Linked DNA regions of Macaca fascicularis. The protein of the gene in region 2 purifies or fractionates together with the protein of the main gene of each other region. This does not show direct contact. Links are inferred from orthologs where the notes say so. Each region holds a gene or a part of one and is shown on either strand. Other genes may lie near its edges.

What was found.
Region 1: the proteins of ATP2A2 (region 2) and CANX purify together in Homo sapiens (co-immunoprecipitation; 3 studies listed by BioGRID and IntAct, with this or other methods). This does not show direct contact. The link is inferred for Macaca fascicularis from reciprocal best matches to the Homo sapiens genes ATP2A2 and CANX.
Region 3: the proteins of ATP2A2 (region 2) and PLN purify together in Homo sapiens (affinity purification with western blotting; 4 studies listed by BioGRID). This does not show direct contact. The link is inferred for Macaca fascicularis from reciprocal best matches to the Homo sapiens genes ATP2A2 and PLN.

The regions. Positions count from the first base shown.
Region 1 is NC_088380.1:186,588,937-186,592,588, reverse strand, and holds part of CANX (calnexin), read right to left. Parts: intron 2,654-3,652; coding exon 2,464-2,653; intron 1-2,463. UniProt on the Homo sapiens protein: Calcium-binding protein that interacts with newly synthesized monoglucosylated glycoproteins in the endoplasmic reticulum. It may act in assisting protein assembly and/or in the retention within the ER of unassembled protein subunits.
Region 2 is NC_088385.1:117,152,115-117,155,866, forward strand, and holds the start of ATP2A2 (sarcoplasmic/endoplasmic reticulum calcium ATPase 2), read left to right. Parts: upstream 1-1,248; 5' UTR 1,249-1,769; coding exon 1,770-1,887; intron 1,888-2,586; coding exon 2,587-2,604; intron 2,605-2,686; coding exon 2,687-2,769; intron 2,770-3,752.
Region 3 is NC_088378.1:22,485,408-22,489,144, reverse strand, and holds the start of PLN (phospholamban), read right to left. Parts: upstream 2,929-3,737; 5' UTR 2,832-2,928; intron 1-2,831. UniProt on the Homo sapiens protein: Reversibly inhibits the activity of ATP2A2/SERCA2 in cardiac sarcoplasmic reticulum by decreasing the apparent affinity of the ATPase for Ca(2+).

The DNA.
Region 1 (3,652 bases), on a different chromosome or scaffold from region 2:
AACAAGAGCGAAACTCCGTCTCAAAACAAAAAAGAAAAAACATACATAGCCAGGCACGGTGGCACATGCCTGTAATCCCAGCCCTCTGGGAGGCCGAGGCTGGTAGATCACTTGAAATCAGAATTTTGAGACCAGTCTGGCCAACATGGTGAAATCCCATCTTTACTAAAAATACAAGTATTTTTTGTAGTGGTGCCCGCTTGTCGTCCCAGTTACTTGGAGGCTGAGGCATGAGCACAGTGGTGCACGCTTTTAGTCTCAGCTACTTGGGAGGCTGAGGCACGAGAATCGTTTGAACCCGGGAGGCAGAGGTTGCAGTGAGCCGAGATCGTGCCACTCCACTACAGCCTGTTTGGGCGACAAAACGAGACTCTGTCTCAACAAACAAACAAAAAACCCACAAAAATTAGCCAGGTGTGCATACCGACAGTCCCAGCTACTTGGGAAGCTAAGGCGGGAGATGATCGCTTGACCCGATGAGGTGGAGGTTGCAGTGAGCCGTGACCTTACCACTGCACTCCCACCTGGGCAACACAAAGAGACCATGTCTAAAGAAAAGAGGTCAGGCGTGGTGGCTCACGCCTGTAACCCAGCACTTTGGGAGGCTGAGGCGGGAGGATCACCTGAGGTCTGGAGTTCGAGACCAGCCTGGCCAACATGGTAAAACCCCGTCTCTACTAAAAATACAAAAATTAGCGGGGCGTGGTGGCACACACTTGTGATCCCAGCCATTTGGGAAGCTGAGGCGGGAGAATCACTTGAACTTGGGAGACAGAGGTTGCAGTGAGCCATGATCACGCCACTGTACTCCAGCCTGGGCAACAGAGCCAGACTCCATCTCAAAAAAAAAAAAAAAAAAAAAAAAGGGCCAGGCGCGGTGGCTCAAGCCTGTAATCCCAGCACTTTGGGAGGCCGAGACGGGCAGATCACGAGGTCAGGAGATCGAGACCATCCTGGCTAACATGGTGAAACCCCATCTCTACTAAAAAAAATACAAAAAAGTAGTCAGGCGAGGTGGCGGGCACCTGTAGTCCCAGCTACTTGGGAGGCTGAGGCAGGAGAATGGCGTAAACCCGGGAGGCGGAGCTTGCAGTGAGCTGAGATCCGGCCACTGCACTCCAGCCTGGGCGACAGAGCGAGACTCCATCTCAAAAAAAAAAAAAAGCAAGAAAAGAAAAAACATATTTATATAAAAACCAGTACATGGGGCCGGGCGCGGTGGCTCAAGCCTGTAATCCCAGTACTTTGGGAGGCCGAGATGGGTGGATCACAAGGTCAGGAGATCGAGACCATCCTGGCTAACCTGGTGAAACCCCGTCTCTACTAAAAAATACAAAAAACTAGCCGGGCGAGGTGGCGGGCGCCTGTAGTCCCAGCTACTCGGGAGGCTGAGGCAGGAGAATGGCGTGAACCCGGGAGGCGGAGCTTGCAGTGAGCTGAGATCTGGCCACTGCACTCCAGCCTGGGTGACAGAGCGAGACCCCGTCTCAAAAAAAAGAAAAAAAAAAAAACCAGTACATGAACATTCATAGCAGCATCATTCATAATCACAGACAAAAAGGAGCAAACAACCTAAATGTCCACCAAGGCAGGATAAATAAAATGTAGCATTATCAAACCAGTAGAATTTATTCAATCATAAAAAGGAATGCAGTACTGATACATGCTTCAACACAGATACACCTGGAAAACACTGTGCTAAATGAAAGCAACTGGACAGAGAAAGCCACATACTGTATGATTCCATTTATATGAAATGGACAAAGTGGACAACTGCAGAGAGGCAGAAAGTAGGTTAGTGGTTGCCGGGAGCTGCGGGGAGGAAACAGGGAGTGACTGCTTAATGGGCACAGGGGTCTTCTTAGGTGATAAAGCTAGTTAAGGTATATAATACTGAACAAGGCTAAGTCCAAATCTCATATGCACCAAATATACAAATAAACTTGGCATTTATACTAGTGCATTATAAAAGTTCAGTTATATGTATCTTACCTTTCAAGGAGGAAAAAGATCATCTAGAATTTAATTGCTGGGCATAGGAAGATACTTTTACAAAGGGTAAGAATTTCTTCAGTTTCTGACATTTCTGGAGTCACTGTATGGAAGCTGGAAGCTCAAAGATAGCCATATACAAGAATCCAGCCCCAGCTATCTTAATTTCTCCTCACTCTTCAATGTGCACCCTACATAAAAGGCCAAGTAATTTCTCCCTTGGATGTCAAGCTTATTGCTGCTCCTCTACCTCTGCATATGACATTCTTCAATCAGAAACACCCCTTCCCGTATTCACCAACTCCTTGACTCTCACCCCTTTCCAGCTACTCTAATAGTTTCCCTACAGATTGGACTGCATCATGGATTACTGAAATTATCAGAGCTCACTCAACCAACATTTGGCTGTTCCAGCCACACGGAATATGTGAAATGCTTCCTTACACTTGAAGACAGGTCCCCAAGACTCACCAGTCATCTGGCTTGACAGCTTCTGGATCTGGGATTTTTGGTCTTTCATCCCAATCCTCGGGCTTCCGGTCTTCTGGGTCCTCAATTTCACGTGAAGGATTTACAGGAGGAGTCATGTCATTGAGCAGATTTCCACTATTCACCACAGATTGGTCAACTAGTATTTCAAAACTATTGTCTGGATTCAAGACTGAAAAAAACATTAAATGGAATTAAAAGTACTTAATTTCCCAAGCTCCCTTTACCATAATACAAAAGATCATGACTTCTAACATGAAGCAGCAGAACAGAAGTATGACCTGAGGCTTTGGGGTAAGAACAATGCCTGGTTCTTGGGGTCTTGGGCAAGTTAGTGCCCATTTCCTTATGCAGAAAACATGAATGCTTAGTTCCTCAGGTTTCTAAGAATTACAGCAAATGATAGTTAAAATCTTTAACACTAAAGATTTTACTTATAGACACTAAAAAAAAAATAAATCAAGAAACCTTAATAAACTAACACGATTATTGGGCTTACACATATATAACAGTGAGCAGACAAATTAGTGGACTTATAACTACTTCCCAGTACAAAAGGTCCATTTCTTTATTTCTAATAGAGCTGGTATTATTACCACGTCACTGAAATTACACAAACCTCTAATTTATTAAAACGCATGTCCACTCATGGTTCTCCTTTTTAACTCCCATGGAGAATGAAAAAACAAGTTTAAATCCATAAAAGCTTTTTTTATAATTTAATTTTATTTTTTGAGACAAAGAGTCTCGCTCTGTCTCCCGGGCTGGAGTGCAGTGGTGTGATCTTGGCTCACTGCAACTCCTGCCTCCCAGGTTCAAGTGATTCTTCTGCCTCAGCCTCCGGAGTAGCTGGAACTACAGATGGCCCCATGCCACCATGCCCAGCTAAATTTTTGTATTTTAAGTAGAGATGGAGTTTTGCCATGTTGCCCAGGCTGGTCAATCCGCCTAACCTCAGCCTCCCAAACTGTTAAGATTATAGGGGTGAGCCACCATGCCCAGTCACATGGGCCCCATAAAAGCATCTTAAGTGTGACGTATATTAAAGGCCAGATTCCACACCTAGATATCTAACACGTGGGTGATTGAGTTATAGCACATCTTGACAAGAAATCCTTGGCCGGGCGCGGTGGCTCAAGCCTGTAATCCCAGCACTTTGGGAGGCTGAGAC
Region 2 (3,752 bases):
TTTTCAGCTGCTGATGCACTGTAATTTGCACCTGTTGAAGGAATTTATCTTAAGTCCTGAAGCCTAGCCACTTGAGACAACTGAGGTGATTTTTCTGCTCTGCTTTTGCTCATGTGGATGGTGTATTATTGCTAAACACAAAAGTGGACTAAATGCTTCATTCTGCAACCTACTCCCTGAAGAAAGCTGCTTTTCTTTGTGAAGCGAATATATTAATGTTTTGTTCATGAATTCCATGCAATTTCCCATCCCCTTGTTAAGTAATGTAGCTAATTTATATTGGCAAAATTCCCTTTATCTCGCTGTGACCTGCGTTTCGTCCTTCCAAGCAGAGCAAATCATCCGTGGCTTAACAGCAGGCTTTGGATTCAAGTCCCCTTTTCTCCTGTCGAGGGAAGTGAGTCTATGAACCGGCCTTCATCTGAAAGCCACAGCGAAGCACCTCCTAGCCCAAGTCTAGCTGCTGTGTGGCAGCTCCAGCGGTGTGACCTGTGACTGCCCTGCAGACACCTAACAAGCGCTGCGTGAGCTATTAATAATAAAATCAACTCTTCTCCCTCCCCCCCCGCGAGGGGGGTTCCCTCGTCAGGGCCCAGAACCCGCTGGGGTAGAATCGGGGCTGGCGTGCGAAGGAGCTGGCGGCAGGGGGTGTGGGATGCGGTGTTCCCGAGGAGACAGATGAAGGATTTGGGTTGTGTGGGAAGGGAACTGCGGAATTCCTCCCCTTGGTTCCTGAGGGGGGCTCCGAAGGAGACAGATTAGGATGCAGAGCGCAGCCCGGGCGACCGAGGGCGAGGAGGCGAGCCAAGGACACCAACCAGCCCGAGCGCGCCTCGAGGACGCCCCGCGTGGACCGCGCTCCAAGCTCCTCGGCCTCGCCTTCCAACCATCCGCCCACCGGCCCCAAAGCAGCGAGCGCACTGTGAGCGCCCCACCCTGCGTCCGCAGGTGGGTGGGCCAGAGAACCGCACGCAGCTAGGAGGGACCCCGGCTCCCCCTCCGCCAACCCCGGGACCGCGGCGCGCGCGGCCTCGATCCGGGTTCCTAGGGGCGGCGCGCGGGAGGGGGCGGGGCCTGCGCGGCAGCGTGGGCGCCAGGCGCGCGGGAGGAGGGAGCCGGGGGGAGGGGGCGGGGCCGCGCCGCCCGCGCCGCGCTGGGCGCTCTCGGCCAATGAGCGGCGTCCACATGCCGCGGCGGCGGCGAGAGGGGAGGCAGCGGCCGATAAATGCTATTAGAGCAGCCGCCGCGGAGCCGTCCCCGACGCCACCTCCTTCTCCTTCGCCGCAGTTTCCTCCGCCGCTGTCGTGCGTGCGGAGCTGAGGGACCCGGTCGAGCGCTGCCGCGCACCGCCCCGCCGGCTCGCCTCCCTTGCCGCGTTCCGCTCTCGGAGGTCGGCCGGGCGCCCCCTCCTCCGGCCCGGGCGGGGCCTCTGATCGCCTCAAGAGAACGGGGAGGGGGCTCGGGGGCCGCGGCCTGCGCTCCCCGCGGGCGGCTGAGGGCGAGGGAGGCCCTCCCTTCTGCGAGGGGAGGGAGGGTCAGGAGCCCCCCACCCGCCCTGCGGAGCTCGGGGCCGCGCGAGGGGCGGTTGTCTGGGGGAGGGGGCGCGGGGTGATTCAGCGCCCGGCGAGGCGGAAGCAGCCGCAGGAGGAGGAGGGGAGCGCCCGTCCGCGCCTGGGCTCCCGGGGTGGCACGAGCCCGCGGCCGGAGTGCGAGGCGGAGGCGAGGAGGCCGCGGGGACGGGAGGCGAGGCCGGCCGGGCCTCCGAAGCCATGGAGAACGCGCACACAAAGACGGTAGAGGAGGTGCTGGGCCACTTCGGCGTCAACGAGAGTACGGGGCTGAGCCTGGAGCAGGTCAAGAAGCTCAAGGAGAGATGGGGCTCCAACGGTAGGTGCCGGGCGTTCGGCTACAGGGGCCCGGCGCGGCCCGGAGAGCCAGGGAAGATGGCTGACCGGGCTCCACCTCGTGGGCTTCGGCTCCGCGCCAGCCGACGGCTGCGGGCGGAGGGTCGGGCCGGCGCGGCGGCCCCGCAGGGGAGAAAGGGGCTGCGGGTCTCGCCTCGCCTCGCCTTCCTTGGACCTCCTCGCGTCTCGGGCCCTGGATCTTCTCGGCGCGCAAGGCTCGGAGGCTTCTCTCCAGCAGCAGCCGGTCCCGGTGGAGGGAGGGACGAGGCTCCTGCAGCTGGGTTGAGCCCGGCAAGACGTTTTCTCGTCCCCTGCCGATTTATGAGGCGTCGAGGTCGTTGGAAAGCCTCTGACCGTTCTTGTCCTACCCAGTTACACATCTGGCAGAAGTGATGACATCGCTGAAACCACTCCTCGGTTCAGGAGCCCTAAGTGATTTCACGCTTAGGGCTAGACCTCAGGCCATTGATTACAAAGAGTGCATGCTTTCTTGAGATATCTTTGTAGTATACCTTCTGCTAAAAAAAATTTGGATATTCCTATAGCTAGGTCTGTGTTTTGAAGATACTGATGCTTAGAATTGTAGCAGTTCTTTTTAGAAAGACGGAGTGCTAAAATGTCTCTCTCTTTTTTTTTAACCTCCCTCTTGACACATTGCCTGGCGAATTTCTACATTCTACAGAGTTACCGGCTGAAGAAGGTAATCTTAACATTTTTTTTTCCCTCTTTTGGTGTGCTGATGGTAAGATGACAGCTACAACACATGTGTTTGTTTCTTACAGGAAAAACCTTGCTGGAACTTGTGATTGAGCAGTTTGAAGACTTGCTAGTTAGGATTTTATTACTGGCAGCATGTATATCTTTTGTAAGTATGAAAAAATTTATTTTCTTTCCCCCAGAAAGGTGAAAGTATTCCATAGATAAATCAGAAAACAAATGGTGTCCATTGGGTGAAAACATATTGGGAGTTACAAGCTGTGTCTCCATGTTTAAAAACAATCTGGGCATTTTAAAATTACGAACAAAACACTTGAAGCCATTAATATTCAGAAAATAGATGCCTGACATTTATAATGCAATTAGGAGTTGTCCCAGAGTGTGGCATGGTCTTACAAATTCTTGTGGTTTATCAGCTTTTAATATCAAAAAGTTCTTCACTGGGAAGCCTTTAATGTTTTGGGTTCTTCCATTGTTACCGTGTTGTAAGATCATACTAAGATGATGTTGGACTCTTTGTAGTCTGTAAATAGAACTTACAAAAGGAATATTCCAGTTGCTTTCCCTTCCTGGTAATGGCAAGGTGACAGTTGTTCCTGACGGTGACAAGAATGATGACGGCTGTGATGGCACCCTTGTTGACCAAATTTGGTCACTGACCTTTAGGGTGGTATATTTATCTAAATTGGACCCCTGTCTTAAGTGATTCTTAGGTTGGAAGAACAAGGTTTCTTTACAGGGTACAGTAACAAGGTACAGTTGGTTTTAGATCTTAAAGGAAAAAAACCAGCATGGTGTTTTTTCTTGTTCTGTGTGTGCTTACCCACTTGAGTGCTATACGGTTGCTAAGAAACTAGTGAAATGCAAAGAACTACAGCAGAAAAAAGGTGTTGGGGTGGCAAGTATATTTCTAGGTTTTTAACTTTTTTTTAAATGTTCGGTATTAATTTTTTGTTGCATTTTTTTTCCTTGGGCAGTAGACTGCTTGGTAGTTTTCCTAAAAATAATCATGAATAGGACACAGATGTTCCTAATCCTAGTAGCATGAAATGCCTTTTATTCTTGAATTACAGTATTACAAAAACCACAATAAGTGAAATTCACCCAGTGTAGTACTTCTTTCTAGTTAAA
Region 3 (3,737 bases), on a different chromosome or scaffold from region 2:
AATAGTTTTGGATATTTAAAATGGTAGAGTATGGGGAGGGGTAATTCAGAAATAAAACTGAGGAATGCTGAGGACTGAGGATTTAAAAGGGAACCTAGAATAAAGTATCGAAATGTGGTTTTTGTGAAAGTTTTGAGGAGATATTAACTTGGATTTTAGGTATCAGATGAATTGAAGGCATGAGTATTTTAGCAATGAAACAAATAAAAGGAAACTTTGATTGATTGGGATATGTTACGGTTTTTTGAAGTCTGTGCAGTTAGTTTGAATTTTATCTAACTGCAGTTATTTTGCTTAACAACTAAGGACATCTGTAATGTTCGTATATTTCTGGTTTTGAAAATGATCAGTAGAATATAATTTAGGCTATTAAGAATGTAATGCCTGATGTACAAATTGAATTTAAGTGAAATGGAATGGTTTTAAATTAAAATAGAAGTTTGTATTCTCTGAATTTGCCTTTTAGAGTATCATTTACAGTGTTTGGGGGCTTTCAAATTTGGTTTATCAGTGTCACAATTTACTTCAAGCCATGCTGGTCAATATATAGAGGATGTGCATGTGGCTTAGTGACAAAACCTAAACTTCTGCTAAGGTTTCCCTGTTTTCTTAGTTATGTGATCTTGAGCAGTTCACCTTTTTGCATCGTTCCTAAATTGTAGAATAGGGATGCAGTATCAAATATATAATTAAGAGGACCAAATAAAATATTTGTGTACACCAGTACATTAGGAAATTGTTCTTTAAGAAGAAGTTTTAATTGGCCCCCCTCATTTCTGGGATTGGTAATATATTGTCTAATTTAGAGAGGTAACTAGACTTTAAAATTTGTTTTTAAATTAAAAATTTAATATATTACATAATTTAGTATTACATGTGTAATTAGTACATTAAAACATTAAAATACATTAAAATTTTCTGAAACCATTGTGTTTATGCAATATTTTCTTATTGTTTCTTAATCTCGCTAATTAAAGATATGATTATATACCCAAATGCGATTATTTTCCTTTATGCCTACTAAAATACAAATAAAATAGATTTGATATTTGATTTTGGGAAATGATAGTGCTGTCACGCCTTTTAGTAAAGCATGTACTCTGACTCTTTCATGTGTTTATAAAACTTAACACTTCTTAATTTAAACATTTTATATTTTTCCCATTTATTTCATCTAACACTTTTTTAAGCACTTATTTTTAAACCACATGTCTTCATAAACAAAGACAATACTTAACTGGCAACTTAAGGTATAGATGAACTATTTGGGACATAATGTATGGTACTACCACATTATGTTTGAAATTTTAACGGTCTCTGTAACTGGAATTTCTGTTAACTGAGACATACTAGTGAGCTAAGGGTAACTTTAATAGAATTTCTGCTCTATCCAGAGGTTGTGTACTTTTTAGAGCAATATGTGATAAAGCGAAATTCTGATACAATAAAATAACTCATGAACACCCAATTTGAAGTGTGAGAATGTAATTTGATATTTGAATAAAAATGCACAAATAAGCATATAAGACACCTACACTGAATGACTTTTGTGTAATAGCAAAGGAAAATTATGAGTATAGAGATATGGAGATGCAATTAGGATACCTCAATGGTAGACAAAAATTATGTTTTTGTATGTCTTAAGGAAAACCGCTTACAGAATTACAAAGTTCGTATTTGTAGTGAGCAAGAGAGTTAACATTTGTCATGGGAATTGAGAATTTTAGAGGTAAATTTTAACATATATATAAAATATGAAAGTTAAAATAAATAAAATATATGTAATTTTCTGTAAGCCCTGACAGAGATCTGAGAATGAGGAAACGTTTCATTTACTAAATTGAGGATTGTAACTTAAAGAATAGGGTAGAATTCAAACGGAAGTCATAAAATTGATTGTGGCATCTCCATTCCTGGCATTTATTTTATTTTCTCCTGTCTTTCTAAATCTCAGAGAGGAAATGGAGTAACACTGGAGGATAATAACTTGACAAAATTATAGGCATTAATAGGCAGAAATCCATTTAATCAAATTTGTGTGAAAATAAGATACTTAAGAATATTCATGTGTCAAAATAACTTTTTAAAGTGTCTATTCTCTAACAGATTTTTGTGTGTTTGTGAAAAGTGTTTTAAAATTTCTAAACTTCTTTATGATACAATATTGAATTTAATATCAGTAACTCAATTTATTAACAGCATGGAATTTTTAGAAATGTTTCTTAAAAGGTGACTGGACTTTAGAGGGGAAACATCCTCAAGGGCACTTTAAAAGTAGCTTGTATTATATATTCTTAAGCTCCATTTCATTATTATTCACTGTATGAAATTATGATGATATTGCAGTAGGCATGCTGATAATATGCATGTTTGTAGTCAAATGACTATTCATATTAGTTCAAATGTAAATAACTCAGTTCTGCACTGTTTCTCAGCAGAGCAATAAATAACAAAATTAAGTCATTGTTTTTGTGTGGAGAAATTAAACCACTGCTGCCAAATATGGTAACATAATTGGAAGATTTTTTTAATTGGCAGAAATTCACATTTGAAAAGCAAAATAAAAGTGAAAGTTAAATTAAAATGACAAACAAATAACCAGGATCAAAGATGAATATGACCTTTTTCATTTCAAAGTTGTCTCATTTTTACTGTCACTAAATGGATAAGCATTTATAAATTTAAGCACTTTGTCATGTCATTTTATTGCTTAAGTTTGAACTGATATTAATAAAAGTAACTTATCTTAAAAGTTCAGATTATAGAAATTATAGGAATTAAAGAATTACAGAAAGTAAGAATTACCAAAGTCAGTGAAATCTGTTTCTTACCTTGGCTGCTGTGATCATCACAATATAGAGTATTGTGTTGTATGAAGTCTTATGGGTATTTAGCTGGGGAGTTTTCTGACTCTGTCACCCGGTTTATGGGAACAGTTGCAGTAGGTGGAGGAGAAAAAGTGTTCTAGGGAGGTCTTATGATGTCACATAGGAATTCTGAAGTTTCGATTGGTTAGCCATAGTCTTAGTCTCAGCACAACCAAACTTTAGAACTTCTTACTTTAGGTATGGAAAAGTCATTAACACTTTGTGCTTCATCTTTTGTTTCTAATTTAAAACAGTATATGGCAGATAAATGAAAAAACAAAGTAAATTTGAGGTGGTAGAAAGCTTTTGTTAAAGATTCATGCATCTTCAGGCTTAGAGATAATTGAATATTAATGGTGAAGATGTTGAAGAGCCAAAATAGTTACTACAGGAATTTTAATTATGAGAAAAATAAACACAAGTATAAGCAAAACAACTTTCATTGAATTCTTGCTGCTGTTGCTTTAATACCACGTCTTCATAATGTTAGCTTTCAACAAGACAATAGTGAAATATTTTTACACAATCAAATTTTATACCTATTTTCTTATTTTGTTGTGTGTATGGAAGAAGGAGTGTGTATGAGGAAATCAGGCTAGTAACTGCTTTTTGTTTTAAAAAATGATTTTTATCTTACAGTTAAAGAACTAATAAATGTATTTAATTCATTTGTGTTTTCTTCAATTAGCAGTTTAACAATATATTTGTGAATGGTAATTCTTATATTTAAACTGATACATATAATCCCCCCCAAAATAACAATATGCTACTTTTAAGTATTTAAGATTTTTTTAAACAGTTGCATTAAATTGTTACACAATCTTAATAAATTTTTTATAAACAGATGCAGTATTAAGGGCAACTTTATAG